4 linked regions of the Anolis sagrei genome follow. The protein of the gene in region 1 purifies or fractionates together with the protein of each later gene. This does not show direct contact. Links are inferred from orthologs where the notes say so. Each region holds a gene or a part of one and is shown in the gene's direction. Other genes may lie near its edges. The genes, in order: CTBP1, AMPD2, ZNF516 and TRPS1.

Region 1 (7,349 bases):
TGGCCTACAACTCCCATAAATTCCAGCCAGTTTACCAGCTGTTAGGATTTCTGGGAGTTGGAGGCCAAAACATCTGGGGACCCACAGGTTGAGAATGACTAGTCTAATGGCTATGTGTTTATTTTGCAAGACATGTTGAAGATTTTTCAATGTAAAGATGGGTTTTACATCCTGGACATTCCACAGATATATAAACCTCACTTGCCCAGTTTCCCCTCAGCCTCTGAGAATGCCTGCCATAGACGTGGGCGAAATGTCAGGAGAGAATGCTTCTGGAACATGGCCATACAGCCCAGAAAACTCATAGCAACCCAATTTATTTATCGTGTCAGGAGCGAACCAAACAGTTGTATTGCATTAAAAAAAACCACAAAGTTTGCAAACTTGGCATTCTAGCTGGCCATTTGGAATGCCTCTGGTGTTGCTGCAAGAAGGTCCTCCATTGTGCATGTGGCTGGGCTCAGGCTGCATTGTAATAGGTGGTCTATGGTTTGCTCTTCTCCAACTGGCATGTCGTGGATTCCACTTTGTAGCCCAGTGTTTCCCAACCTTCCTAATGCCGTGACCCCTTAATACAGTTCCTCGCGTTGTGATGACCTCCAACCATAACATTATTTTTGTTGCTACTTCATAACTATCATTTTGCTACTGTTATGAATCATAATGTAAATATCTGATATTTATTTTCATTCACTGGACCAAATACGGCACAAATACTCAATATGCCCATATCTGAAAACTGGTGGGGTTTGGGGGGGGGGGGGTTGATTTTGTCATTTGGGAGTTGTAGTTGCTGGGATTTATAGTTCACCTACAATCAAAGAGCATTTTGAACTCCCCCAATGACAGAATTGAACAAAACTTGGCACACAGAACTCCCATGACCAACAGAAAATACTGGAAGGATTTGGTGGGCATTGATCTTGAGTTTGGGAGTTATAGTTCACCTATATCCAGAGAGTACAATGGACTCAAACAATGATGGATCTGGACCAAACTTGACACGAATACTCAATATGCCCAAATGTGATCACTGGTGGAATTTGGGGGAAATAGACCTTGACATTTTGAAGTTGTAGTTACTGGGATTTATAGTTCACCTACGATCAAAGAGCATTCTGAACCTCACCAAACTTCTCACACAATACCCCCACGGTCAACATAAAATACTGTGGTTTCTGATGGCCTTTGGTGACCCCTCTGACACCCCCTTGCGACCCACCCAGGGTTCCGACCCCCAGGTTGCGAAACACTGTTGTAGCCCCATTTCTTAAGGTTGGCTCTGCATCTCGTGGTGCCAGAGCACAGTCTGCTCAGCACCTTCCAAGTCGCCCAGTTTTGTGTGTGCCCAGGAGGGAGTCTCTCATTTGGTATCAACCATTAATTCAGGTTCTGGGTTTTAGCCTGCCACTTTTGGACTCGCTTGATGAGGTGTTCCTGCGAGTGTCCCAATGTGCATACAGATTGGAATTCCAAAGACCAGAACTACTCCAGATTCCAAAATTGTCTACTCTGGTGGGGGGGCTTGTTGCTACTAAAGGTTTGCAACGTACTTTTCTTAAGTTTTGGAAAGGATCAGAGCTGTTTCTGTTACAGCTGACACAGTTAATTATTGGGATAATTAAGTGTATTGTTATCTCATGTGTGTTTGTACTTTAAGTATTGCATTGTATTTGAGTTTTGCATTATCCGTGTTGGAGTTTTGCATTCTTTGTGTTGGAGTATTGTGTTCTACGTGTTTGAGCATTGTGTTTGTATGCTTTGCTTGGGGCTCGGTTTGAGTTGAAAAACCTTTGTTTGTTTGATGCCGAGAGAAGTTACTGCAAGCGTCCAGAGCTGAAAATAAGGCAGCAAGTCAAGGTCACTCTACGGACAACTGACTAAGGGAGACTGCATATCAACGCGGAATGAAGAGAACTCACCGAAGATATTGTTTTATGTTATGTTTTTGGTGAGAGCAATTCTTCTATTTTGTTTTGTATGCTGTGAATACAACTTCGTTTCTTTTCTACTTAAAGCTGAAGACTCATGTGTTTTTCTTTTATGAATTACACACTAGCTGTACCCACCATGCGTTACTGTGGCCAATCTTACATCTCTCCTTCCTTCCTTCCTTCCTTCCTTCCTTCCTTCCTTTCTCTCCTTCCTTCCTTCTCTTCTCTTCTCTTCTCTTCTCTTCTCTTCTCTTCTCTTCTCTTCTCTTCTTCCCTTCCTTCCCCCACCTTTTCTTTCCCATTCTTTCTCCCCTTTCTTCCTTCTCTACTTACTCTTGGACTGCACCTCCTAGCAGTCCTCCTGATCCATCCATCCATCTATCTACCTTACCTATCTGGAGGATTGCTGGGAGTTGCAGTCCAAGAATAGGAAATTGCAAGTATGCAGGGATTGGGATGCTCTTTAAAAAATCTAAGAAGAAAGCTTGCAGCTTGGAAACACTGCATTTGGATCATCCCCCTCTCTTAAAAGGCCTGGTCTAGGGGATGCTGGGAGCAATAGTCCGAAAGAGAGTGTGGAATTGCTATTGTGTGGGTATTTTTGCCGGGGGAGTCGTTTTTGTGCATGCTCTGTAGCATCTTTTTGCTTTTTTGGCTTTTTAAGTCCCAATGTGTTTTTCAGTGTTTTTATGAGTGATGGTCACTTGTTGGCCTGATGGGTGTATTGTGTCCAAATTTGGTGTCAATTCGTCCAGTGGTTTTTGGCTTATGTTAATCCCACAAACTAACATTACATTTTTATTAATATACTAGCTGTCCCCTGCCACGCTTTGCTGTGGCCTAGTCTGTGTATATGTTTGTGTGTATATATATTTGTATATGTGTGTGTTTATATTTGTGTATATATGTGTGTTTGTGTATATATGTGCTTTTGCGCATGCGTTGTAATGTGTGTGTGTGTGTTTTTTTTGCTTTTTAAGTCTCATCCACTGTGTTTTTTTGTGTTTTTATGGGTGATGGTCACTTGTTGGCATGAGGGGTGTCTTGTGTCCAAATTTTGTGTCAATTTGTCCAGTGGGTTTTGAGTTATGTTAATCCCACAAATTAACACATTTTTATTTATATAGATTTTTATTAATATAGACTAACTGTCCCCTGTCACGCACTGCTGTGGCCCAGTCTGTGTATATGTGTTTTGTGTGTGTGCATATATGTGTGTATATGTGTATGTTTGTGTATATATATGTGGTTTTGCGCATGCGTTATGTAATTATTGTTTTTGGCTTTTAAAGTCTCTTCTGCTGTGTTTTTCAGTGTTTTTATGAGTGATGGTCACTCGTTGGTCTAATAGGTGTATTGTGTCCAAATTTAGTGTCAATTCATCTAGTGGTTTTTGAGTTCTGTTAATCCCACAAACGAACATTACATTTGTATTGTCGAAGGCTTTCATGGCTGGAATCACTGGGTTGTTGTAGGTTTTCCGGGCTATATGGCCATGTTCCAGAAGCATTGCAAAGGTGTCCCTGCCTCAGCCTTGTCAGCATTTACATAAGTAGCCCGCAGGCTGACTTTACCCTTGTAGTAACTATATAAATAAAAATGTAATGCTCGGTTGTTGTAGGTTTTCCGGGCTATATGGCCATGTTCTAGAGGCAGTTTCTCCTGACATTTCGCCTGCATCTATGGCAAGCATTCTCAGAGGTAGTGAGGTCTGTTGGAAGTAGGAAAATGGGTTTATATATCTGTGGAATGACCGGGGTGGGACAAAGGACTTTTGTCTGCTGGAGCTAGGTGTGAATGTTTCAACTGATCACCTTGATTAGCATTTGATGGCCTGGCAGTGCCTGGGGGAATCTTTTGTTGAGAGGTGATTAGATGTCCTTGTTTGTTTCCTCTCTGTTGTTGTGTCGTTGGCCTAATAGGTGTATTGTGTCCAAATTTAGTGTCAATTCGTCCAGTGGTTTTTGCGTTCTGTTAATCCCACAAACAAACATGACATTTTTATTTATATAGAGTTATTACAAGGGTAAAGTCAGTCTGCAGGCTACTTATATAAACGCCGACAAGGCTGAGGCAGGGGCACCTTTGCTATCTGATATTTGCTATCTGCACAAAGTTATTGTAAATATTGTTTTTTTTTAAAAAAATTCAGGCCGTCTACGGTGAAGATGAACCGTGAATGAAAACCGTGTTTGGAGGAGGGTCCCATCTCGTCGGGGCAATGAATCAGGCGGGGAGGCGGCCCTCCTTCCCTCCCTCCCTCCAGAGGTGGGGTCCTTCTGCCTCCGAAAAGGGGCGGGGCGGAGGCCACGCCTCCTCCTCCTCTTCCCCTTCCTCCCGCGCGCACGCCAGCTTCCCTTTCCTTCCCTCCCTCCCTCCTCTCCGGCTCCACATCCGGCCAGCAGACAAGAGAGCAAGCGCGAGCCCAGCCCGGCCCCGCCCCTGCCTGCGCGCGCCTCCTCCTCCTCCTGCTCCCCCCTCCCTCCCTGATCGCGGAGCCTCAGTGCGAGGGCTCGGAGGGAGGGGCCGGGCGGGGAGGGAAGGCAAAGGAAAGGAAAGAAGGGGGCGAGGGAGCCGCCGGGGCCGCCATATGCTCCGAATCGCGCCCGAGCAGACCCCGCTGGAGCCCTGCCCCTGAGAGGCCTCTCGATGGGCAGCTCCCACTTGCTCAACAAGGGCCTGCCGCTCGGTAAGGCGCCGCCGCTGCCTCGGGTTTGCTGTGCCTGTTTCTCCCGCCTCGCGCACGGAGGGAAGGGAGGGGTGGGGGAAGGAGGAGGAGAAGGCCCCTCGCGCTTTGTGAGGCATTGTGTCCCCTCCTGCTTCCCCTCAGAAGCTGAGGAGTAGGCCGCAGGGAGGACATTGGGGGAGGGGGGGCTCTGCTTCGGCCTGGCCTCGCTCTCCGCTGGGGCCTTTCCCCGTGAACACAGCCCTTTGGGGAGGGGGCTCGCTGGAGGCCGGTTTCCGGTTGCGCCCCCAAAGGCTGAATATGGTTATTGGGCGCCGCTGGGAGGGTCCAAGGCCTGGCGCCTCTTGCCTCGCTCGGGAAAGTTTGATGTCGTCCCCTTTTGTCCTTCCTCCTTCCCTTCCTTCCTGGCACCGCCTGGGCCCGGTTTCGAGCCGCCCCTTCCCTCCCTCCTTTCCTCCAGGGGGCCGTTTGTGCCAAGATGGAGGAGGAGGAGGAAGAAGCCGAGCTCCCGCTTCCTCACCTCTGGGGGGCTCCCTGACTTCCTGGCTGTCTCGCTGCCCTCCCTTTTGATCCATCTTCTGTCTCTCCCTCTTGGCCATCCAACCAAGGGAGCGTGGAGCGCAGGGCTGCTCTTTCGATGCCGGCTTGGAGTGGGCATTGTTCTTAGGAAGCCATGTAAGGGCCTTGTGGTCAAGAGGGCTTTTAATAAAATAATAATAGTAATACTTTATTTATACCCCGCTACCATCTCCCCAAGGGACTCGGTGCGGCTTACATGAGGCCAAGCCCACCGCACATCAATAAACAAAACATCAATAAACAAACAATCAATACAATACAATTCATATAAATCACATTAACAAAAAATAGGCAATAAACAATCAACAGTGACATACAAGCATTTAAATCCAATGGTTGGGCCAAATGTAATAGATTAAAATTAAAAAATAATTCTGACGTGAGCAAGGTAGGATATAACTGGGATAGGATTTTCAGAGAGAATTGAGGGAATGCAGTCATTCCTAAATCAGTGGTAAAGTGCATTTTGAGGGCACATTGCTGAGAGTTTTCCTTATTCTGGGAAGGCACACTGGCACAACCACGCTTTTGTTTACAGCCACCCATCAACAGAGAGGCCATCTAGACTACCATATAACGCAGTTTAGAACTACTTTACGTGGCCAGTGTTGACTCCTATAACTCACTTATTAGGACCTCCTCACACTAGAGCAGTGGTTCTCAACCTTCCTAATGCTGTGACCCCTTAATATAGTCCCTCATGTTGTGGTGACTCCCAACCATAAAATTGTTTTAATTGCTACTTCATAACTATAATTCTGGAACTGTTATGAATCATAATGTAAATATCTGATATGCGTGATGTATTTTCATTCACTGGACCAAATTTGGCACAAATACCCGATATGCCCAAATTTGAATACTGGTGGGGTTGGGGGAGATTGATTTTGTCATTTGGGGGTTGTAGTTGCTAGGATTTATAGTTAAACCTACCATCAAAGAGCATTCTGAACTCCAGCAATGATGGAATTGAACCAAACTTGGCACACAGAACTCCCATGACCAACAGCAGATACTGGAAAGGTTTGGTGGACATTGACCTTGAGTTTTGGAGTTGTAGTTCACCTACATCCAAAGAGTACTGTGGGTTCAGACAAAGGTGGATCTGGACCAAACGTGGCATGGATATTCAATATACCCAAATGTGAATACTGGTGGAGTTTGGGGAAAATAGACCTTGACATTTTGAAGTTGTAGTTACTGGGATTTATAGTTTACCTACAATCAAAGAGTATTCTGAACCCCACCAATAGAATTGGGCCAAACTTCCTACACAAAACTCCCATGACCAACAGAAAATACTATGTTTTCTGATGGTCTTTGGTGACCCATCTGACCCCCCCCCCCCCCCGGATCCTGACCCCAAGGTTGAGAAACACTGCACTTAGAGAATGAATCCACTTTAAATCCGGTTGCTGCCTCCTGCAGAATTCTGGGGTTTGTAGTTTAGGGACAAGTCTTTAACAGCCTCACTAAACTACAAATCCCAGAATTCTGCAGGAGACACAAACTGGATTCATTCTCTAGTGCAGGCAAACTTCAGCTCTCTAGGTATTTTGGACGTCCAACTCCCAAAATTCCTAACAGCTGGAGTCCAAGACACCCAGAGGGCCAAAGTTTGTCCATGCCTGCTCTAGTGTGATGAAGTAGACAGGCTGCATTATATGACTCTACACAGACCATATAGTGCAGTTTCAAACTGCATTATAGGGCAGGGTAGATGAGGTCCCGAGGCTGGATCTACACTGATCTATATCCCAGAACCTGATCTCAGATTATCTGCTTTGAATTGGATTTATTTCTTTACTATATTTATACCATGCTCTTCTCACCTCAAAGAGGACTCAGGGTGGCTTACATCATAGCAAAATTCAATGCTGCATTATACATACTAAATATAACATATCAAATTATAAAACTATTAAAACATATAAATACAATAAGTAAAGCCCCCCCCCCCCTTAACATTAAGTCTAGTTGAGTCCGACTGTGGGGTGGTACTCATCCAAGGTGATGTGGCCAGCATGACTGCATGGAGTGCCATTACCTTCCTGCCAAAGCAGTACCTACTCACACTTGCATATTTTCGAGCTGCTAGGTTGGCAGAAGCTGAGGCTAATAACGGGAGCCCACCCTGCTCCCCAGATTTG
Region 2 (7,024 bases), on another chromosome or scaffold:
AGAATGAATGCAGTTTGACACCACTTTAACTTCCATGGCTCAGTGCTGTGAAATCGTGGTTGTTGTACTTTTACAAGGCCTTTAGCCTTCTTTGCCAAAGAATGCTGGAGCCTTACCAAGATACAAATCCCCTTGATTCCATATCACAAAACCATGACAATTAAAATGGTGTCAGACTGAATTCATTCTACTGCTTAGATGCAGGTGGATTGAAGGTGGTTCATAAGTGCGGTGTCCAAATTACACTTGTCCTGGTTAGAGGCAGGAGTAAGCAGTTCTGACCCCATTATTTAGGAGGTGTATCTGACTATACAATTATAGCCACCAATAGCTCTATTTTAAGGTCTCGTGGGATGTACAGTTCAATGAAGTACTTCAGATTCTCCCTTGGAGATAATTCATTCTCTCTATCATCTTTCAGGTATTTTGGACTTCAGCTCCCAGAATCCTTGAACATTTCCCAGGTGTCCTGGGCTGAAATTTTAAAGATCTGGAGGAACCACTGTCTGGTTCACTCCTTTGAACTCCACGGCCTCTTCCACACAGCTGAATAACATGATCTTCCCACATTATCTGCTTTGAACTGGAATATATAGTAATGTGGACTCCGATAACTCAGTTCAAAGCATATATTGTGGGGTTTTCTACCTTGATTTATTTATTGATATTGACAAGCTGGAATGTGTCCAGAGGAGGGCGACTAAAATGATCAAGGGTCTGGAGAACAAGCCCTATGAGGAGCGGCTTGGGGAACTGGGCATGTTTAGCCTGAAGAAGAGAAGGCTGAGAGGAGATATGATAGCCATGTATAAATATGTGAGAGGAAGCCACAGGGAGGAGGGAGCAAGCTTGTTTTCTGCTTCCTTGGAGACTAGGACGCGGAACAATGGCTTCAAACTACAAGAGAGGAGATTCCATCTGAACATTAGGAAGAACTTCCTGACTGTGAGAGCCGTTCAGCAGTGGAACTCTCTGCCCCGGAGTGTGGTGGAGGCTCCCTCTTTGGAAGCTTTTAAGCAGAGGCTGGATGGCCATCTGTCAGGGGTGATTTGAATGCAATATTCCTGCTTCTTGGCAGGGGGTTGGACTGGATGGCCCATGAGGTCTCTTCCAACTCTTTGATTCTATGATTCTATGATTTATTTATTTATTTATTTGCTTTACTTCTATACTGCCTTTCTCCGCCGAAATGGCGACTCAAGGTGGTTTACACAGTAAAGATCATCACAACAATATCAAAAAGACAATTAAAAGCAAATTATACAAATTACACCAAAACAAACAATCATTATCATAGGCCTCAGCAAACAAATCAGAATCAGAATCCGTAATCATAATCCTTTACCAAATCCTATGTTCAGTTGTACCATCTTCGTGTATTCATTGCAGTATTTAGCCAAATGCTTGTTCGTAAAGCCAAGTCTTGACCTTCCTCCGGAATGCCAGCAATGAAGGGGCCTGTCTGATGTCCACAGGTAGGGCGTTCCACAGCCGAGGGGCCACCACCGAGAAGGCCCTGTCCCTCGTCCCCGCCAACCGCGCCTGCGATGTAGGCGGGACCGAGAGCAGGGCCTCCCCAGACGATCTTAATGTCCTAGTCGGTTCATAGGAGGAGATGCGTTCGGAGAGGTAAGTATTGATATTCTGGGTTATATGGCTGTGTGGAAGGGCCCCACACCCCAGATTCCTTAACATGGTTTCAGATCACATGGTTATACAAAGTAGTGAGAAACTGATGTAACAATGTAATGCGGATACTTCTCCAGTGATGTGTGTATGTGTCATTAAGATACTGTCAACTTATAACAATCCCATTAATTTCATAAGGTTTTCCAAAAGGGACTACTCAGAAATGGTTTGCCAGTTCCTTCCTTTGAAATAGAGCCTACTGAACTTGGCATTCATTGTTGGGTTTCCATCCAAGTACTAACCAGAGCTGTTCCTGCTTAGCATCCAAGATCAGATGGGATCTGGTACCTTTAGGGCAGTGGTTCTCAACCTTTTTTCACCAGGGACAACTTGACCACTCTCCAACATTAGTACCAAAAGGGCTACAAATCAGTTTTTGGTAAACTTTAGATTTGGCTTGGTTATTTGGGATGCTGATTCAGAAAATTGCATTGGATAGACCACATCAGCTCTAGTTTCTGACACAAAACATAGGCCATCCAGTAGTTGCCATCTGCTCTCCCACAGAAAGCCATATTTAATAAGCTTCAGCACTATAAGAAGTTTCGCAAGACCAGTCACTCTCTTTGCAATGGTAGTAACAGTGAAGCTGTGGACCATATTTTAGTTCTTGCAGACCACTTGTGGTCCACGGATCACAAGTTGGGACCCACTGCTTTAGGGCATTAGGCTCTTCCTCAAGTGGGCTGCCCTCCAAAGCCAAAGGAAGTGCCACAATATGTTTTTGAGGCACCTCACCACTGGAGAAGCAATGCAGTCTGCCACCATCTTTACTGCTACGGTTCAGTGCTGTAGAATCCTGGGAGGTGTAGTTTGGCGGGACACCAGCACTCTTTAGCAAAGAGGGCTGAAGACCTTGTAAAACTGTAAGTCCCATAATTATATAGCATTGAGTCTTGATAGTTAGAGTGGTGTCAAACTGCATTTCTTCTGCAGGGTAAATGTATCCTATGCAGACACCATAGCACTGGCTTTTGTGGCCTTTCAAATATTTTGGGGTGGCAGCTCCCATCACTCCTGGCCACTAGGTAGGCAGGGTAGAGTAATGCTTTTCAAAATAGTCACCAGGGAGTCATGATCTGCCAACACATTGCATGGGTGGATGATGATGATGAGGTGCCCTACAATACTTGGAGAGACTCTGTTGCTGGCCCAGCTTTGAGGTTGCAGCTTGGCCTTCTCCTGAAAATGCCAGCCCGGGCTTCAGAAGCCTGGAGTCCCTTTGGCAAAGAGGACTCAAGCTTGCTTTCAGGATGGCTTGAACCTGGGATATTCAACAGGTGTACTTGCTTTTTAAGGCAGAGAATACCAACTGGGAGTGAGAGCAGCCTCCCCATCATGTTGTTTTTTTTAGACTAATTATTTTATTCAGAACCAAAGAAAGCATTATAATCAAACTGTCCTTGCAATGCTTGCATAGAAGTGGGAGGGCATCAGCAATGAAGGCAGAAGTTTCCAAACTGTCGTGACACGCCAATGTGTCGGCTGCAGTGTGTTGGTGCGGCACACAACTGTAACGTGAAACCTGAGTCTATAGCAGGCCTGGCCAAACTTTGGCCCTCCCAATGTTTTGGACTTCAACTCCCACCATTCCTAACAGCCCCAGGCCCCTTCCCTTTCCCCCTCAGCCTCCATCTCCCTGAAGGGACTTAGGGCGGCTTATAAGGGATGTGCCCAGCAAATACAGATTAAAAACAAACACAGAAATGCAGTCAACATTTAAAAACAATATACCCTGGTTAAAGCCTTGTGTCGGCAGGACTGAAGACTGACAAGTCGGAGGTACAAATCTGGGGAGAACGTGGATGAGCTCCCTCTGTCAGCTCCAGCTCTCCATGCGGGAACATGGGAGAAGTCCCCCACAAGGATGATAAAACATCAAAACATCCTCTGGGCAATGTCCTCGCAGACAACCAATTCTCTCACACCAGAAGCAACTTGAAGTTTCTCAAAGTCGTTCTTGACACACACACACACAAAAGGTCTGGAGTTGCATCTACATTGCAGACTTAATACAGTTTGACACTACTTTAGCTGTCAGGGCTCAGTGCTAAAGAGTCGTGGGGGTTGTTGCTGTACAAAGCTTTCTCTACCCAGGAGTGCTGGTGCCTCACTCAATTAAAAACCCCAGGCATCAAGCCAGGGCATTTTAAAGCGGTGTCAGACCGCGCTCATTGTGCAGTGTAGATGCAGAGGGTTGCTAAAGGACCCACGCAGCTCGTGCCCGTGAGGAATGCAGCTGGAGGAGGAGGGGGCTGGGCTTCAGGCCTCCTCTTTGCTTCTCCCTCCCATCCGCTGCGTCTTGAGGCGGAGGAAGTCAAGAGAGATCCAACGCCGGAGCTCCTCCTGCGCCCATCGCCGGCTCGCTTCCTCCCCGCCTGTCCATCATCCCTAGAGGAGGCGGGGCTTAGCGGAGGCCCCGCCCCTTCGCCCAGTGTCCGGAGCCTGCCTTTGAGGGGCTTCTCTTGGAAGCATTGGGAGGGAGCAAGATGTCGTCTGGAGCGGCGCCCCCGAAGAGCGGCTCTCCTTTAAGAAAGCGGGCCAGCCTTCAAGCCGTCGTGGGAGGAGGAGGAGGCGGAGGAGGTGAGCGTGGGAAGATGGCATTTCCTCCCCCAGCCCTCTTTTCCCAAGCTAGGGGGGGGTTCTCTTCATGATAAAGCACCCCAATTCCTCCCCCCTCCCTTCTTCTGCATTTCCCTGCTGTGTTTCCTTCTTCCATAGGCTAATGGCTGCTCCTTGGGTTGGTTGGATGCTTGGCTGAGCAGACTTGGGTGCATCTGTACTGTAGAATTAATGCAGTTTGACACCGCTTTGCAGCCATGGCTCAAGGCAGTGCAATCAACTGTAGCTTGACAAGATCTGTAGCCTTCTCTACCAAAGAGGGCTGGTGCATCACCAAATTTCCAGAATCCAGTAGAATTGAGCCATGGCATTGAAGTGACCAACTTCACTGTTTCTGTAGAACAGACCTGGGTGCTTTGTACTTCAACTCCCACCATTCCTAGCAGCCTCAGGCCCTTTCCTTTTCCCTTGATGCACCTTCCTCTTGGCATGCTTCTCCCTTTCGCCCTCCATTTGTGCCGCTTCGAATTCTGCAGCACTGCTGGTCACAGCTGACCTCCAGTTAGAGTTCTCAAGAGCCAGGGCTTCCCCGTACTCAGTGTCTATATCACAGCTTTTAAGGTTGGCTTTCAGCCCATCTTTAATTTTTTTTCCCCCTGTCCACCAACATTCAAGAGAATGCAGCCACCTGTGGCACAGTGGGATGATAATAATAATAATTTTATTTTTATTCCTCACCTCCATCTCTCCAAAGGGACTTAGGGCGTTTACAAGGGACGTTCCCAGCAAATACAGATTAAAAACAAACACAGAAGTGCAATCAACATTTAAAAACAATAAACCCTTGTTAAAGCCTTGTGCTGGCAGGACTGAAGACTGACAAGTCCAGACATTTTGGACTTCCAACTCCCACCATTCCTAACAGCCTCAGGCCCTTTCCTTTTCCCCTTCAGCTGCTTAAGTGGCCTGAGGCTGTTGGGAATGGTGGGAGTTGAAGTCCAAACATCTGGAGGGCCCAAGTTTGCCCATCTTGATATAGAATGATATAAAACCCTTCAATTCTTAATCTTATCCATCTGTGACGTAGATTGCACAGCCCAAGCAGAAATCTTATTTCTTGGTGTCTTGGTTTTTAGGCACGTTCCTAGGGTTATTTGAACCACTGATTCGGAAAATAGCGTCAGATAAACCACATCGGCCATAGTTTCTTAGATAAGGTTGTTGTGATTTTCTATGGGTGATCAGATGGCAACTGGTATATGGCGTATGTTCTTCATCTCACAAACTCGAGCTGATAGGGGAAGACTGGTGCCGTTTTTGGAACCGTCAGATGAAACATACCCAGAAATGAGTTTTATTTGTGTGTCGGCCAGTGATGTAATTCAGAAAGATGCACATTGCGACCTTTGTCTTCAAGGTGTGATGGGATACAGGTCTTTCACATCTTTACAAGGGTCTTTTAGGATTCATGTATAAAAACAAAGCATGTTCAGAGGTGGGTCCCTCTGTGAATGTGCAGTAAAATCCCTAAAGGCACTTATAGAATCATAGAGTTGGAAGATACCTCATGGGCCATCCAGTCCAATTCCCTGATCATGTCTGGCTCCTGGTCCTGACCTTTAATGCTCTATATAGGAGCCCCCAGTGGTGCAGTGGGTTAAACCCCTGTGCCGGCAGGACTGAAGACTGACAGGTCACAGGTTCGAATCCAGGGAGGGTGCGGATGAGCTCCCTCTATCAGCTCCAGCTCCTCATGTGGGGACATGAGAGAAGCCTCCCACAAGGGTGATAAAACATCAAAACATCCAGGCATCCCCTGGGTGATGTCCTTGCAGATTGCCAATTCTCTCACACCAGAAGCGACTTGCAGTTTCTCAAGTTGCTCCTGACATGACAAAAAATATGTTCTATATGCCAGAGGCTTAAATCCCCTACAGCAGTGGTTCCCAACCAGTGGTCCACATGAACTAAAATATGGTCTGTGGCCTCACTATTACTACACTGTTGCAATAAGGGTGACTGGTCTCGCGAAACCCTCTTATAGTGCCAAGGCTAATTAAATATGGTTTTCTGTGGGCGAGCAGATGGCAACTACTGGGTGGCCTATGTTCTGTATCAGAAACTCGAGCTGATGTGGTCTATCCAATGTAATTTTCTGAATTAGCACCCCAAATAACCAAACCGAATCTAAAGTTGACCAAAAACAGATTCGTAATCCTTTTGGTACTAATGTTGGAGAGTGGTCAAAGTGGTCCCTGGTCATATGGCCCCCTTGGTCAAATGGTCTTTGGTCAAAAAAAGGTTGGGGATCTCTGCCCTAAAGCCACCGGCTCTTGTCTGATCTTGGAAGTTAAGCAGTGTCCGTTCTGCTTAGTACTTGGATGGAAGGCCATGTACAGGTCCTGCAAACTGTTTCAGAGGACTGAACTGGCGGAACCATCTCTGGTTATGTCTTGCCTAAGAATACTCTATGGATTTTATGGGGTCACCATAAGTTAATAATAAGAAGAAGAAAAAGAAGAAGAAGAATCTTTTCTTTATATCCCACCACCATTTCCCAGAGGAACTCGGGGCGGCTCACAAAACACTCAAGGTATGACATGCAAAATGCAACAAGTGCAAAACAAAACATATGACTAGACAATAAACAATCAACACAACATCATAAATTCACAGTACCCCCTTGTAAAAACAATGAAATATAGTCATTGCTGTGGATAAAACAGCAGTATTCGATTTCAGAAATATAACATGCTAATAAAGAATCTAAAGG
Region 3 (7,370 bases), on another chromosome or scaffold:
AATAATAATAGAGTAAAATAATAACTAACCTTGACTCAAGTGAAAGCTGAGGGGGACTTTTTCAGCCTAAAAAAAGGGCTGAAAAACTAGGCTTATACTCAAGTATATTCAGTAGTTTCCAGTTGCTTGAGAATATTGTTTCTGGCTGCTATTAAAAATAGGCCTAACTACTACTTTAACCTATATTATACCATACCATAAACTATGTATTGACTTGATCTAAATATTGAAACAAAGCAATAAAAGCAAATAAAAACAAAGAAAGACAAGCATATCTTAATGTAACAGTTTTACTGTATTATAAAAGTAGTTTTGTAAATGCATTATTATATATTGATTTTTTTTTGCTAGTTGCTTGACAGTTTCGGTTACTTGAGTTCTGGTTAGCTGAGAATCTACTGCTTGGAATATTCCACACAGGAATTCATTAAGAGATCTCTTTCATTATTGTCCATTTTATTTTCAGGAGAACAATGGCAACTTAATAGCACATACATGACGGAGCCCACATTAAATAACTGTAATTGAATTTTACTGAATTTTAATTTTTTACACTCATGATACAAATATATGGTTCTTTTGAATTTTTAAATTCATGTCTATGTATTTGCCTTGTTTTAAAATTCTTTTGTATTGTGTCATGTCATTCTCAGCCATCTTGAGTGGAGAGAAAGGTGGGATACTACTTCCCAATAATAATATTTAAAAATTAAATAACTGCATCTGTCTAGAGGTTAGACACATACTCTTGTCAGTGAACGTATAGCATAGTTTTCCTATGGGGAGAAATATGAGATAAAACAAAGTAAATCATAATTATAAAGCATCTCCCTCTATGAACCAACTCGGAGGTTAATATCGTCTGACGAGGTCCTCCTCTCGGTCCCACCTTTTTCACAGGCACAACTGGTGGGGATGAGGGACAAGGCCTTCTCAGTGGTTGCCCCTTGATTATGGAACCCCCCTCCCCAGCGAAATCAGGTCATCTTCCACCCCCCTACCTTCAGAAAGCATGAAACAACGTGGCCTTGGGACCAAGCCTTTGGTCAATAGTGAAGTGCAGTAAGTGATTATGGAAAATGTGCTAAGACAATTGGAATGGCTTTTTGACTATGATCTCAGATTGCGTAGTTTTAATAATGTGTTTTAATCTTTATATGATTTTAAAAGTGGCTTCCAGATGGTGCAGTGGGTTAAACTGCTGATCTTGCTGACCAAAAGGTTGGCGGTTTGAATCCGGGGAGCAGGATGAGCTCCCACAGTTAGTCCCAGCTTCTGCCAACCTAGCAGTTTGAAAACATGCAAATGTGAGTAGATCAATAGGTAATGCCACTCCATGCAGTCATGATGGCCACATGACCTTGGAGGCATCTACAGACAATGCCGGCTCTACAGCTTAGAAATGGAGATGAGCACCACCCCCCAGAGTCAGACACGACTAGACTGAATGTCACAGGAAATCATTTACCTTTACTTTTATGATTTTAAACTCATGTTTCAATGGATATGTTTATTTTATGTCTGTTGTGTACCTGGCATCAAATTGTTGCCTTTGTAAGGCCACTCTGAGTCCCTGTCAGGGCTGAGAAGGGCAGGGTATAAATACTGTAAATAAATACAAAAATAAAATATTTATAATAATAATAATATGTAAAAATAGAACAGAAGCTAAACGTGTACTTTTTTCAGTATGTGTACATGTAAACATATAGGATAATTTTGCTATGAGAAGAAAGATGGGATAAAAAGAAAATAAATAATTATAATAAGCAACATTATTTAAAAATAGAACAGAGGCTAAACACATACTTTTGTCAGTGTGTGTACATGTGAACATATAGGATTGTTTCCATATGGGAAGAAAGATGAGATAAAAATAAAGTAAATAATAATAATAATAATAATATTTTATTTAAATATAGAACAGAGGCTAAATGTGTACTTTTCTCAGCGTGCGTACATGTAAACATATAGGAAAGTTTCCCTATGAGAAGAAAGATGGGATAAAAATAAAGTAAATAATAATAATAATAGTAGTAGTAGTAATTACTATTTTATTCAAAAATCGGTTAAACCCTTTTTTTGTCAGTGTATGTACATGTGAACATATAGGATAGTCTCCCTATGGGAAGAAAGATGGGAGAAAAATAAATAATTATAATCGTAATAATTTTATTTAAAAATAGAACAGAGGCTAAATGCATACTTTTCTCAGTGTGCCTACATGTGAACATATAGGATGGTTTCCCTATGGGAAGAAAAATGGGATAAAATAATAATAATAATAATAATAATAAATTTTAAAATAGGTCAAACGCTTACTTTTCTCAGTGTGTGTACATGTGAACATATGGGATGGTTTCCCTATTTGGAGAAAAATTGGTTAAAATAAAGTAAATAATAATAATAATAATAATAATAATAATTGTTGTTGTTTATTCGTTCAATCGCTTCCGAATCTTCATGGCCTCATGTACCAGCCCACGCCAGAACTATATAATAATAATTTTATTTAAAACCAGAACAGAGGCTAAACACGTACTTATTTAAGAATAGGTTAAATCCTTCCTTTTGTACATATTAGTTTCTCTATGGGAAGAAAGTTGGGATAATAATAATGATAATAATAATAATAATTTTATTAAAAATTAGTTAAATGCTTACTTTTGTCACTGTGTGTACATGTGAACATATAGGATAGTTTCTCTATGGGAAGAAAGATGGGATAAAAATAAATAATTATAATAAGCAATAATATTATTTAAAAATTGAACAGAGACTAAACACATACTTTTATCAGTGTGTGTACATGTGAACATATAGGATAGTTTCCCTATGGGAAGGAAGATGGGATAAAAATAAAGAAAAAAATTATTTAAAAATAGAAGAGGCTAAACACAAACTTTTCTCAGTCTGTCTACATGTGAACATATAGGATAGTTTCCCTATGGGAAGAAAGTTGGGTAAAAAAAATCATATTTATTTAAAAACAGAACACATACTTTTATTACTGTCTGTACATGTGAGCATATAGGGTAGCTCCCCTATGAGAAGAAAGTTGGGTAAAAATAAATTATTATTATTATTATTAATAATAATAATAATAATAATAATAATTTAAAATAGAACACATAGTTTTATTACTGTCTGTACATGTGAACATATAAGATTGCTTCCCTATAGGAAGAAAGTTAGGTAAAATAAATAATAATAATAATAATAATAATAATAATAATAATAATTTAAAAATAGAACACACACTTTTATTACTGTCTGTACATGTGAACATATAGGATAGCTTCCCTATGAGAAGAAAATTGGGTAAAACTAAATAATAATAATAATAATAATAATAATAATAATAATAATAATTTAAAAATAGAACACATAGTTTTATTATGTGAACATATAGGATAGCTTCCCTATGGGAAGAAAATTGGGTAAAAATAAATAATAATAATAATTTTATTTATTTATTTATTTGTCGTGTCAGAGCAACCAGTCCATTATACTACATTTCTAACAGAACAAAGCAAACAGACAGAAAAATACACAACTTGTGAGAAGCGACCAGCATAATAATAATAATAATTATTATTATTATTTAAAAATAGAACACATACTCATTATATGTGAACACAGAACCTCATTACCTCTGAGGATGCTTGCCATAGATGCAGGCGAAACGTCAGGAGAAAAATTGCCTCCAGAACATGGCCATATAGCCCGGAAAAACCTACAACAACCCAGAACACATACTTCTGTTATGTGAACATATAGGATAGCTTCCCTATGGGAAGAAAATTGGGTAAAAATAAATAATAATAATAATAATTATTATTATTATTATTTAAAAATAGAACACATACTTTTGTTATGTGACCATATAGAATAGTTTCCCTATAGGAAGAAAATTGGGTAAATTATTATTATTATTATTTAAAAATAGAACACATACTTTTATTATGTGAACATAGCTTCCCTATGGGAAGAAAGTTGGGTAAAAATACATGATGATGATGATGATGATTGTCCCTAAAGCCAGAAGGCATACTTTTGTGCCGGCGTGCCCATGTGCCCCTCGAGGCCGGTTTCCCCTTCCTGCTGTTCCCTTGACTCCTTTGGGCAGAAGCGCTGCCCTGCTAATGAATCCTCCCCATTAGGGGAACAATTGCCGAGACGGGACTCATTTGGGGGCCACCGAGCCTCTCCCCGCCTTAGACAAGAACTTTGTGCTGATGAGACAATAGTAGACAGTGTGTGCATTTCAGAGAGGAGAGACCATTCCGCCGCCGGGGGGGGGGAGAGGGGAGACCTCCCCTTGTACATTGAAAGAGGGGCGGGCAAAAGGGGCCGAAGGAGAGCCTCCAGGTCGGGCTGGAAAGGCGCCGGGAAAGTTGGGGTTAGCGGGGAGTGCAGGTTTGCGGGGAGGCGGAGAGTTCTCCCCAAGCGCCCCCCCCTCCCTGCTGGGCCGAGTGGAGCCGCCGCCGTGCATCATGTGCCGCTCTTTCCTGATTGCAGGCAGCGCGTGGTTTCACCTTCAGGTTCTGCTGTGGACGCGTCCTTCTCTTTAAGCCATCACCTCAACCGCCTGAAGGTAAGGGGCATTTGGAAGAAACCATTTCTTCCCGGGGGGAGGAGAGAGAGAGAGGGATGTTGCTCTTCGGCCATTGGGGAGGGGAGGGGGAGAGAAATATGCCCAATGCGCCCGTGGGGGAAAACTTTCCAATTAATAGTTCATCCCGCTCCCTAATTGGAGGGAGCTTTCCAAGGATCACTACTTGGGGGGGGGGGGGGGGGGGTTGAAACAGTTCCTAAATCAATAGATCCTGGTGTGTAAAGAGTGGGGAAGGATACGTTGTATATGGATTTATTATATAGAGTCTCTTTTGTATCTTTGGTCAAAAGGAAAACGGGGGGGGGGGGGGGGAGATCAGGAATATAACATAACTCCCACCCATTAAGGATGGGTTGGGTTGGAATGGAAAGCAGAGAAACCCAATTGGGAAAATTAATTAAATAAATAAAAATAATTAAAAATTTCCATTAAGGATGGGTTGGAATGGAAAGCAGAGGGACCCAATTGGGAACATTAAAAATATGTTTTGTTTTGTTTTTTTTAAAAAAATAAAATTAAAATTAAAAAAATTAAAAAAGGGACCTAATTAGGACCAAAATAGTTGTTTCCAGGAGGAAAAAAGGGAATCTTTATAGAGGGCATGAGGAGAGAGAGAAGGAAGGAGGAGGAGGTGGGGAAAGGAAATAATGCAGACATTTTGACCTATGGAACCCTCCTCCTCCTCCTCCCCCTCTGGCCCCTCCCATCTCCACCCCAAATTAGCATAAGAGTGGCAAGCAATCCTTTGAATGCAGTGGTTGCGACAAGTTGGAAGAAACTTTGAAAGCAGTGGCAACTCTTCTTCATCACTAGAGAAGAAATCCACTTCAAATCCGAGTTTCTGCCTCCTGCAGGATTATGGGCTTTGTAGTTTAGAAGAAAATCATAGAGTTGGAAAAGACCTCATGGGCCATCCAGTCCAACCCCCTGCCAAGAAGCAGGAAAATTCAAAGCACTCCTGACAGATGGCCATCCAGCCTCTGTGTAAAAGCTTCTAAAGAAAGAGCCTCCACCACACCCTGGGGCATAGAGTTCCACTGCTGAACAGCTCTCACAGTCAGGAAGTTCTTCCTAATGTTCAGGTGGAGTCTCCTTTCTTGTAGTTTAAAGCCATTGTTCCACGTCCTAGACTACAGGGCAGCAGAAAACAAGCTTGGTAATAGTATGAAAGCTGGGCCCCGAAGCTCTCAGCATTACGCTGTTTCCACTTCACTCCTTCGGGAGCGCTGTTTGTGCAACGCAGAACAGAACACAGATATTATAGAAGGAATATAAGAGTTCTTATAAAACCCTATAAAACTACAACTCCCAGGATCCCATAGCACCCTTGGACGGAGAAAGGTGAAAGAAACCCTATGAAACTATGACTCCCAGCATTCCATAGCTCTCTTTGGCAGAGAAGGCTGAACCCCCCCCCCATAAAACTACAACTCCCGCCATTCCATAACACTCTTTGGCGGAGAAAGGTAAAAAAATCAATGAAACGACAACTCCCAGGATCCCATAGCACCCTTTGGCAGTGAAAAAAACTCTATAAAACTATGACTTCCAGCATTCCATAGCTCTTCAATGGAGAAGGGTGAAAAAAAAACCCCATGAAACTACAACTCCCAGGACCCCATAGCACTCTTTGGCAGAGAAGGGCAAAAACCCTATAAAATACAACTCCCAGGATCCCATAGCACTCTTTAGCAGAGATGTGTGAAAAACGGTATCAAACTACAATTCCCAGGATCCCATAGCACTGTGGCAGAGAAAAACCCGTATTAAAACTACAACTCCCAGGATCCCATAGCACTCTTTTGCAGAGAAGCATAATAAAACCCACCTAGGTAAAGGTAAAGGTAGTCCCCTGACATTAAGTCCAGTCATGTCTGACTCTGGGGTGTGGTGCTCATCTCCATTTCTAAGCCGAAGAGCCAGCGTTGTCCGTAGACACCTCCAAGGTCATGTGGCCGGCATGACTGCATGGAGCGCCGTTACCTTCCTGCCGGAGCAGCACCTATTGATCTACTCACATTTGCATGTTTTCGAACTGCTAGGTTGGCAGAAGCTAGGGCTGACAGCGGAAGCTCATGCCGCTCCCCGGAATCGAACCTGCGACCTTTCGATCAACAAGCTCAGCAGCTCAGTGCTTTAACCCACTGCGCCACCGGGGGCTCATAAAAAAAAACCCACCTATAAAACTACAATTCCCAGGATCCCATAGCACTCTTTGGCAAAGAAGCGTCAAAAAATCCACCTATAAAACCACAACTCCCAGGATTTCATGGCACTCTGGCACAGAAGGGCAAAAACCCTATAAAACTACAACTCCCAGGATTCCATAGTACTCTTTGGTGGAGAAGGGTATAAAAAACAAAAGCTGCAACTCCCAGAATTCCATAACACCTTTTGGCAGAAAACGGTGAAAAAACCCTATAAAACTGCAACTCCCAGGATGCCATAGCCTTTAGCCATGGCAGTATAAGGGTTGTCAAACTGCAGTAGCCCTATAGTGCAGATGCATCCATATTTATCACAAAGTCTTTAGCCTTTTCTACCCAAGACTGCTGGTGCTGCCCCAAGCTACAACTTCCAGGATTCAAAAGCATTGAACTATGGCAGTCCGAGTGGTATCAAACTACATTAATCTAACAGTTTAGAGGCATCCTTGTTATTTTTGCATGACTTTGAGGGCGATGTATGTGCTTCATGGTGTCACCTGTGGCACTGGGAATGCAAATAAAAGCCGATGGGAAGCCAGGCGGAA
Region 4 (7,555 bases), on another chromosome or scaffold:
TTTATGGAACATTTTGCTTAATGTTGCATAAAAGAAATACACCTAATCTTTTAAAATGCCAAAAATAGGATCTTGCGGGTCTCAAGTTCTATGAATGTTCTGCGTTCTTTTCCCCTCTTTTCCAATTTAATCTCTTCTCTTTTTCCTTCTTTATCTTTCTTCTACTACTTTTCAAACTGAAAATCAACCTTTCAGTACCTTAGAACGTATAAGGATCTGTGTCAAAGTCACAAAACCATGGAAGTTTTACTGGAAGAGGAGGTTCTTAGCAGGAAAAATATTTCTCCTACCCAATGAGCAATTTAGGCTGCAATCTGATACACAGTTCTCCAGGAGCTAAAACCCACTGAATGCAGTTACTACAGATAACCATGTTTAAAGAGCAAGCATGTACATCTTGTTGTGTTAGAAAACAGGCTTTGGTCCAAACATATCCTAGGTTTATTCATGAACAGCTCTAGATAGAAAACTGGCTGAGCTATTGATTCTCCCTTGAAACCTTGGAGAGATACTGATAGTTGAAGAAAGTAACGACTTTCCAATGGATCCTTGTAGATTACTCATGATATGAAATGCTTCTGATATCTAAGGCTCTCACATATTTCAAAGTAATTCAGGTTCACCATTCCTTAACTAAAATCCAAAATACACTGAACTCCAAAATTTTCACATAGGTGGTTTTCAGATAGTTCAGCATACATAAACTTCCTTTCTTGCACAAAGATATTAAAGTATTGTATTAATTACCTTCAGGCTATGTGTATAAGGTGTATCCAAAACATAAATGAATTTTACTTCTAGTCTTGGATCTCACTGTTCAAGATACCTCATTATGCACATTTAGGCAAATATGGTACAGACTGAGGCGCCTTCCACACTGCTGTACAAAATCCAGATTAGCTTCTTTGAAGTAGAATATATGGCAGTGTAGACTCAGATAATCCAGTTCAAAGCAGATAATGAGGGTTATCTACCTTGATATTCTGGATTATATGGAAGTGTAGAAAGGCCCTGTGTATCCTTTTTCTGAAGTACTTGGAACCAGAAGTGTTTGGGATTTTGGATTATTTCAGAGTTTGAAGATGAGTCCCAAGTCAACACAAAATTCATTTATCTTTCATATGCAGCTTAGACACAAAGCCTTAATAGTGTACAATATTTTTAATGATTTGTGCATGAAACAAAGTTTGTGCATACTGAATCACCAGAAAGCAAAGGTGTCATTGTCTCATTCATCTATGTGGACAATTTCTGGATGATTTTGTATAAAGATGCTCCTTCTGTATATCCATTTCATTGGCGGACCTCGTTTCTAAATGTGTGCCTTCATCTCTGAAGTAACATATGTACACTTCAGGCAAATATCTATCTTTTTTTGGCCTCCTTATTGGATATGAACAATTTTGGAATTCCAAATAAGGAATGCTCCGCCTATGCTTTTCTTTCAGCGACAGTCCTTGTTTCTAAATGCGTTTATCGATAAATTAGCATATGTAACTTCTAGGCAAACCTCTGTCTCTTTTGCCATCCTTATTGGATGTGAACAATCAGGGCCAGATCAAGACCTTTATAGGCGCTAAGTATTTTAAAGATTTTGGTGCCCTCATAAGCATCTAATTCAAAATATTAACAATAAAATAAATGCATAACATATTTTGGAGTAAACCATGACTTTGGTCCATATAAACAGTTGGGTTGGTTCCAAGACAAAACTGTTTACATGGACATCCTGTTTGGGGACAAGGAATGCTGTCACACCCCCCCCCCCCCCAAAAAAAAATTCTCATCATCGTGGTGGCCAATGGGTGCAAAATGGCTACTGTCTGTTGCTTGCGGCCTGGAATGATGTCAACTGGGACACCAGGGTGATCAGAGAAGCAGGAGGGAATGGAAGGGGCAATTCCTTCTTTCTCTCTCTCCTCTCCCACTTTCTTCTGATGCACCAGCTGATGAGGGATGGCCACTAGCCATGATCCACCCACTAGCCAGCACTACAATAACAGGATAGGTGTAGTCAGGACTTCTTTCTTTGTCTGCAGTGGTATAGGGTGGGTAGGTGGAGAAAGCTGCCGAAAGAACCCCACTCCAGGGCAATGTTGGAGTTCCCATTTTTGCTCTGTGTTTGATTTCACCGCTTTGAGTGTCTTTGAAAGAAAAAAGCAGTCTATAGTAGTAGTAGTAGTAGTAGTAGTAATAATAATAATTCTCTTTCTTTGCCAGCTGAAAGAGGGATTCTGTGCCTTATGAGTGGAGATGGGGTTAAGAGAATCCTACTCAGGGCAAGGCAATAGGATCAATCTCTCTCTCTGGTCTTTTCTACAAAACTATATAAAATCCAGATTATCTGCTTTGAACTGGATTATATAGCAGTGTAAAAAGGTAAAGGTAAAAGTTTCCCCTTGACATTAAGTCTAGTTGTGTCTGATTCTGGGGGATGGTGCTCATATCCATTTCTAAGCCGAAGAGTCGCCGTAGTTTGTAAACATCTCCTGGGTCATGTGGTCAGCATGACTGCATGGAGCGCCGTTAACTTCCCACAGAAGCGGTACCTATTGATCTACTCACATTTGCATGTTTTCAAACTTCTAGGTTGCCAGGACTGAGTTAACAGAGGGAGCTCACCCCACTCCTTGGATTTGAATCACTGACCTTTCACTCAGCAATTTAAGCAGCTCAGTGGTTTACCCCCCTACACCACCAGAGCCCCTGGATATAGCAGCACAGACTTCGTAGATTATCAGAACTGATAATGTGGATTATCTTTTTTGATAATCTGGATTATATGGCAGTGTAGAAGGGGCCTGTTTAAATTCCTCTCCTTCACTGCCCAACTCAAAGGAGAGGTTATGTATATTTTAAAGAATCCCACTCTAGGGCAAGGCTGTAGCTCCTTTTCCCCTTTTTCTCTGTGTTTTGGGTTCATCTCCTGTTTACAACTGAAATGGGAGTTGTGTGTGTTCATGTACATAGGGTCAGAAGAACCCCACCACAGGGCACCACTTTTGGTCTTTGCATTTAGTTCCACTGCTTTAAGATTGAGAGAAAAAAGTGGTATATAATAATAATTATTATTATTATTATAATTATTATTATTATTCTCTTTCTTTCCCCAGCTGAAAAGGTGGGTCTGTTTGTAGGTTGTGCACCTCTCTTTCTGTGCTTCTTAGGGCCACTCTCTTTTGGGTGACTCAAAGGGGGGCCTAAAAAGCCCCTTCTTCCTTCCCTTCCTTCCCTCTTTCTTTCCTTCTGTCCTTCACTTCCTTCATTCCATCCTTCCTTCTTCTCTCCCTGATTTTTTCCTTTCCTTCTTTCTTTGTCTTTTTCTTTCTTCCCTTCTTTATTTCCTGCCCTCTTTCTCTTTTTATTTCTTTCCTTCCTTTTTCCCTTCGGTCTATCTTTCCTTCCTTCTTCTCTTCGGTCTATCTTTCCTTCCTTCTTTCCTTTTCCCTTCCTTCCAAACTTCTTCCCTTTTCCTTTCCTTCTTCCTCCTTCACTCAATTCCTCCTTTCCTTCTGTCTTCCCTTCCTGTTTTCTATCTTCCCTTCCTTCTTTCCTTTTCCCTTCCTTCCATCCTTTCGTAACTTCTTCACTTTTCCCTTCCTCCTTCACCCCATTTGTCCTTCCCTTCCTTCTTCCCTTCCTGCTTTCTATCTTTTCTTCCTTCTTTTCATCCTTCTTTTGTAACTTCTTTACTTCTCCCTTCCTTCTTCCTCCTTCACTCCATTCCACCTTCCCTTCCTTCTTTACTTCTTCCTTCCGCCATTCCTTACTTCTTCCCTCACTTCCTCCCCCTTCTTTCCATCTTCCCTTCTTTCCTTCCTTCTTCCATTCCTTGCTCCCTTCTTCTCTTTCTTTTCCCTTCCTTCCTTCTTTACTTCTTCCCTTCCTTCCTTTACTTCTTATCTCTCCCTCCCTTCTTCCCTTTCTTTTTCCTTCCTTCTTTCTTTACTTCTTCCCTTCCTTTCCATCTTCCCTCTCTACCTTCTTCCCTCCCTCCATTCCTTCTCCTCCCCCCTTCTTTTCCTTCTTCCATTCTTTCTTTACTTCTTCCATCCCTCCCTTCTTTACTTCTTTCCTTTCTCCCTTCTTCCCTTTCTTTTTCCCTTCCTTCCTTCTTTACTTCCTTGCTCTCCCTCCCTTCTTCCCTTTCTTTTTCCCTTCCTTCCTTTACTTCTTCCCTCTCCCTCCCTTCTTCCCTTTCTTTTTCCTTCCTTCCCTTCCTTTACTTCTTCCCTCTCCCTCCCTTCTTCCCTTTTTTCCCCCTTCCTTACTTCTTCCCTCCCTTCTTTCCATCTTCCCTCTCTCCATTCCATCTTTTTCCTTCTTTACTTCTTCCTTTCCTCCCTTCCTTTCCTCCCTCTCTTCCTAGTTTCCTTCCTCCCTCCCTTCCTCTTTCGACCAGCGCGGCTTCTCCTCTCCTCTCCCCTGCCGGGCCGCCTGTGCGAGTGAGAGGCAACGAGGGAGATTGAAGCGGGAGGAGGAGGAGGAGGAGGAGGAAGCCGCGAAGGAGGCGGAGCCGCCGAGTGCCCGCCGGTGGAGGAGGCGGAGGGAGGCCGGGAGAAGGCCGTCCGCGGCGGCGGCAGCAGCAGCAGCAACAGCAGCAGCAACGGGGAGCGGGAGCGAGCGAGAGAGTAGCAGCCGGGGTTGCCTCTTTAAGGCTCTCCTCCGCCCGGGGTGGCGCTTCCCTCCCTCCTTTCCTCTCCCTCCTCCTCCTCCCTCTCTCTCTCTCCCCCTTTGATATTAATAGTGTTGGTGTCTTGAAACTGACGTCATGCAGTCGGAGACTGGAGGTCCTGACAAGCGATAACATTTCTGATAAAGAGCCTCCGCTGGCCATCTCCAAAAAAGAACAGAAAGAAAAAGAGAGAGAGAGAGAGAGAGAGAGAGAAATCTCCTCCTCCTCCTTTTTTTTTAAAGGGGAAGAGAAGAGAGAAGGGCTTGTTTGTTGCAAGAAGAAGCAGCAGCAGCAGCTACTCTGTTTCTTTTTCTTTTTCCTCCTCCTTTCCGCTTTATAAACACATTTTTCCCCTTCTTCTGCGCTTTTGGCGCGTTCCCTTCTTCTTTCCCCCCTTCCTCCTCCTCCTCCTCTTCTCTCTCTGTCCATCCGCAGAAGGAAGGGAGGGAGGGAGGGAGGAGGGTGGCTAAAAGCAAATCCCCCCCTTTTCCTCCTTCTCCTTCTCCCCTATTAACCCCTCTCTTTCTTCCCTCCCTCCTTCCCTCCCTCCTCCTTCCCTTGCTTTTCCTCCTCCTCCTTCCTTCCTTCCTTCCCTCCTTTCCCTCCCTCCTTCTCTCTCTCTCTCCCCCCCCCCCCCCGGGGTGCTTTCTTTTCCCACCTCTTTCCAAAATAATCCAAGCTCAACTCTCTTGCAAACAACAGAAAGACGGTTCATGGCTCAGGCGACAGTTCCACCATCTTTCCAGCGGCTGCGGTTATTATTATTGCTATTATTATTACTATTATTGCTGATCAATCAACAGGTAAGCAAGCAGGGTTTACAGGGAGTGGGAGGGGGCTGCAATTCAAAGGGAGGGGGGAAGAGAAATGGGGTTGTGATCCATGGAGAGGAGAGAGCTGTTGGTGGCTAGCACTTAACACCTTCCTGGCTTTTTGCTCTCTTGGATGTGTATTTTGGTATTATTATGTCCCCCCACTCCTCAAATAATATGTCTATCATCAGAAAGAAAGCAGTGTTTTGGTTTTGTGTATGTCTGTGCTGTGATTTAGGGATTTTTTGGATAAAAGAGGGGGGTTTGTGTGTTGCTTTGCAAAGAAGGCAAAGCAAAGAGCTCCAGTTTCCTAAAGGATGTGTTTTAATGGGTTCTTTAAAATATATATAAAATATAATACAATCTTATTCTCCTCTTCTTCCTCTTCCTTCTCCCCATTTTCCTCCAATCTGTGTTTTTATTTTATTTTGTAATGGGGTCAAAAACATGTGTTGATCTGCAGCACACACAAAATAATAATAATAATGGGAGACTTGGCGGAAAGAAAAAAACTTGCAGGAGGCCTTCTTTGGAGAGAGAGGAGTCAGCAGGGGTCAAGTTCAGCAGCCAAAGGGAAGCCCTTCCCCCTTGGACCCCCCCCCCTTTCCCCAATCCCTTCCCATCCTCCAAAACCAAGAAAAGACAACTTTGGAAGCTGCTGGTGTCTTTCCTGACTCTCCTCCCCTGAGTCCCCTCCTTTTTTTGTGGGTTAAGCTTTGATTTCACTCTCCTCTTTACAGGGGGAAAGTGTGTAAAAGAGGAAAGGGGGGGGGGCACTCTGCTTTTTTCCTCCCTATTGGGTTGCCTTTTTGTTTTGTTTTTTTGCATTGGTAAATATTGCATCCTTCACGTGGGATACCCCACATAATGTGGGATACCCCACTTAAGCCCTTCCCCCTTTTAATTTTGGTCAAACATCCTAGAGTTTTTGCACTTTTTCAGTTTTTTACCCATCCTTTGAAAAGAATGGGGACGGTGGCCAAAAGTCGGGGCTCGGATGGGAGATCATCATGAGAAAGTAGTAAGTTTCTTCCCCCTTCTTGTTGAAAGGAGACTTTGGGTAGTTTTCTGTGTAACTTCTAGAGAAAGGTGTTGAATATATCACTCTTTAGATCAGGGTGGGATTTTTCATCCTGGTCTCTTTTCTCCCCAAAATGTGACACTTTGGTTTGGCTGGCTTCTTTAGAAGGAGTTAGGAAGTTCTTCGAAAAGGCCAGGACCTTGTGCACAGGTTTGCAATAAGTTACTTTATTGAGCGTTCAGTGACTTTTCTCTCCCTCCCCCCATCTTTGTAAAAAACTTGCTTGGATTATGGATGCGTGTGACAGGTTTCTTCATCGTCCCCCCTCCATTAAGGAACTGAATAAATGAAGAGATGGAAACTTCCTAATTAAGAAGGGAAGAATGGATTGTACTTAATCGTAACTTGTGACTGATCCATAATGGTGGTTGGGAAGGAGTTGCTTTATTGAGCGTCCAGTGACTTTTCTCTCCCCCCCCCCCATCTTTGCAAAATACTTGCTTGGATTATGGATATGTGTGACAGGCTTTCTCCCCCCCCCCCCTTTAAGAAACTGAATGAATGAAGAGGTGGAAACTTCCTAATTCTTTAAGAATGGAAGATTGGATTGTACTTAATCGTAACTTGTGATCCATAATGGTGGTTGGGAAGGTTTTGCTATTATAAAAAATCAGCAAGGGGGGTGGGGGAGTTGTTGTTGTTATTATGGCTCCATGAGTCCTCCCCATCTCTGCCTTTGATCTTAAAGGAAAAGTTCATACAACTTTCTAGGACTGTGCTCTTGTAAATCAGGAGAAATTTCCCTCTAACTTCTTGATACTTTTTCAACAAGTTGTCTTGCTTGCGTTGCTAGTTGTGTCTACAATTTCTTCTACTAAAGAAGGTGCCATTCAAGAACTTTTAAGACTTTGTTAGATAAGGTTTCTTTTTCATTTTTAAAGAACTAACACCAACCAGAAGCTCATAAAGCCCCTTTCCCACCCACAAATGTCAAACTCAAATCACTGAGAGAGAGGAGAAAAAAAATCATAGGCCAAACAATGAAGT

Evidence for each region.
Region 2: the proteins of CTBP1 (region 1) and AMPD2 purify together in Homo sapiens (affinity purification with mass spectrometry; 3 studies listed by BioGRID and IntAct, with this or other methods). This does not show direct contact. The link is inferred for Anolis sagrei from reciprocal best matches to the Homo sapiens genes CTBP1 and AMPD2.
Region 3: the proteins of CTBP1 (region 1) and ZNF516 purify together in Homo sapiens (co-immunoprecipitation; 4 studies listed by BioGRID and IntAct, counting the BioPlex papers as one, with this or other methods). This does not show direct contact. The link is inferred for Anolis sagrei from reciprocal best matches to the Homo sapiens genes CTBP1 and ZNF516.
Region 4: the proteins of CTBP1 (region 1) and TRPS1 purify together in Homo sapiens (affinity purification with mass spectrometry; 3 studies listed by BioGRID and IntAct, counting the BioPlex papers as one, with this or other methods). This does not show direct contact. The link is inferred for Anolis sagrei from reciprocal best matches to the Homo sapiens genes CTBP1 and TRPS1.

What each region holds. Positions count from the first base shown.
Region 1 is NC_090023.1:143,542,154-143,549,502, forward strand, and holds the start of CTBP1 (C-terminal-binding protein 1), read left to right. Parts: upstream 1-4,348; 5' UTR 4,349-4,583; coding exon 4,584-4,623; intron 4,624-7,349. UniProt on the Homo sapiens protein: Corepressor targeting diverse transcription regulators such as GLIS2 or BCL6. Has dehydrogenase activity. Involved in controlling the equilibrium between tubular and stacked structures in the Golgi complex.
Region 2 is NC_090024.1:184,411,417-184,418,440, reverse strand, and holds the start of AMPD2 (AMP deaminase 2), read left to right. Parts: upstream 1-4,018; 5' UTR 4,019-4,178; coding exon 4,179-4,272; intron 4,273-7,024. UniProt on the Homo sapiens protein: AMP deaminase plays a critical role in energy metabolism. Catalyzes the deamination of AMP to IMP and plays an important role in the purine nucleotide cycle.
Region 3 is NC_090024.1:74,193,068-74,200,437, reverse strand, and holds the start of ZNF516 (zinc finger protein 516), read left to right. Parts: upstream 1-4,351; 5' UTR 4,352-4,597; intron 4,598-7,370. UniProt on the Homo sapiens protein: Transcriptional regulator that binds to the promoter and activates the transcription of genes promoting brown adipose tissue (BAT) differentiation.
Region 4 is NC_090024.1:23,857,696-23,865,250, forward strand, and holds the start of TRPS1 (zinc finger transcription factor Trps1), read left to right. Parts: upstream 1-4,537; 5' UTR 4,538-5,478; intron 5,479-6,285; exon of another isoform or gene 6,286-6,508; intron 6,509-7,555. UniProt on the Homo sapiens protein: Transcriptional repressor. Binds specifically to GATA sequences and represses expression of GATA-regulated genes at selected sites and stages in vertebrate development. Regulates chondrocyte proliferation and differentiation.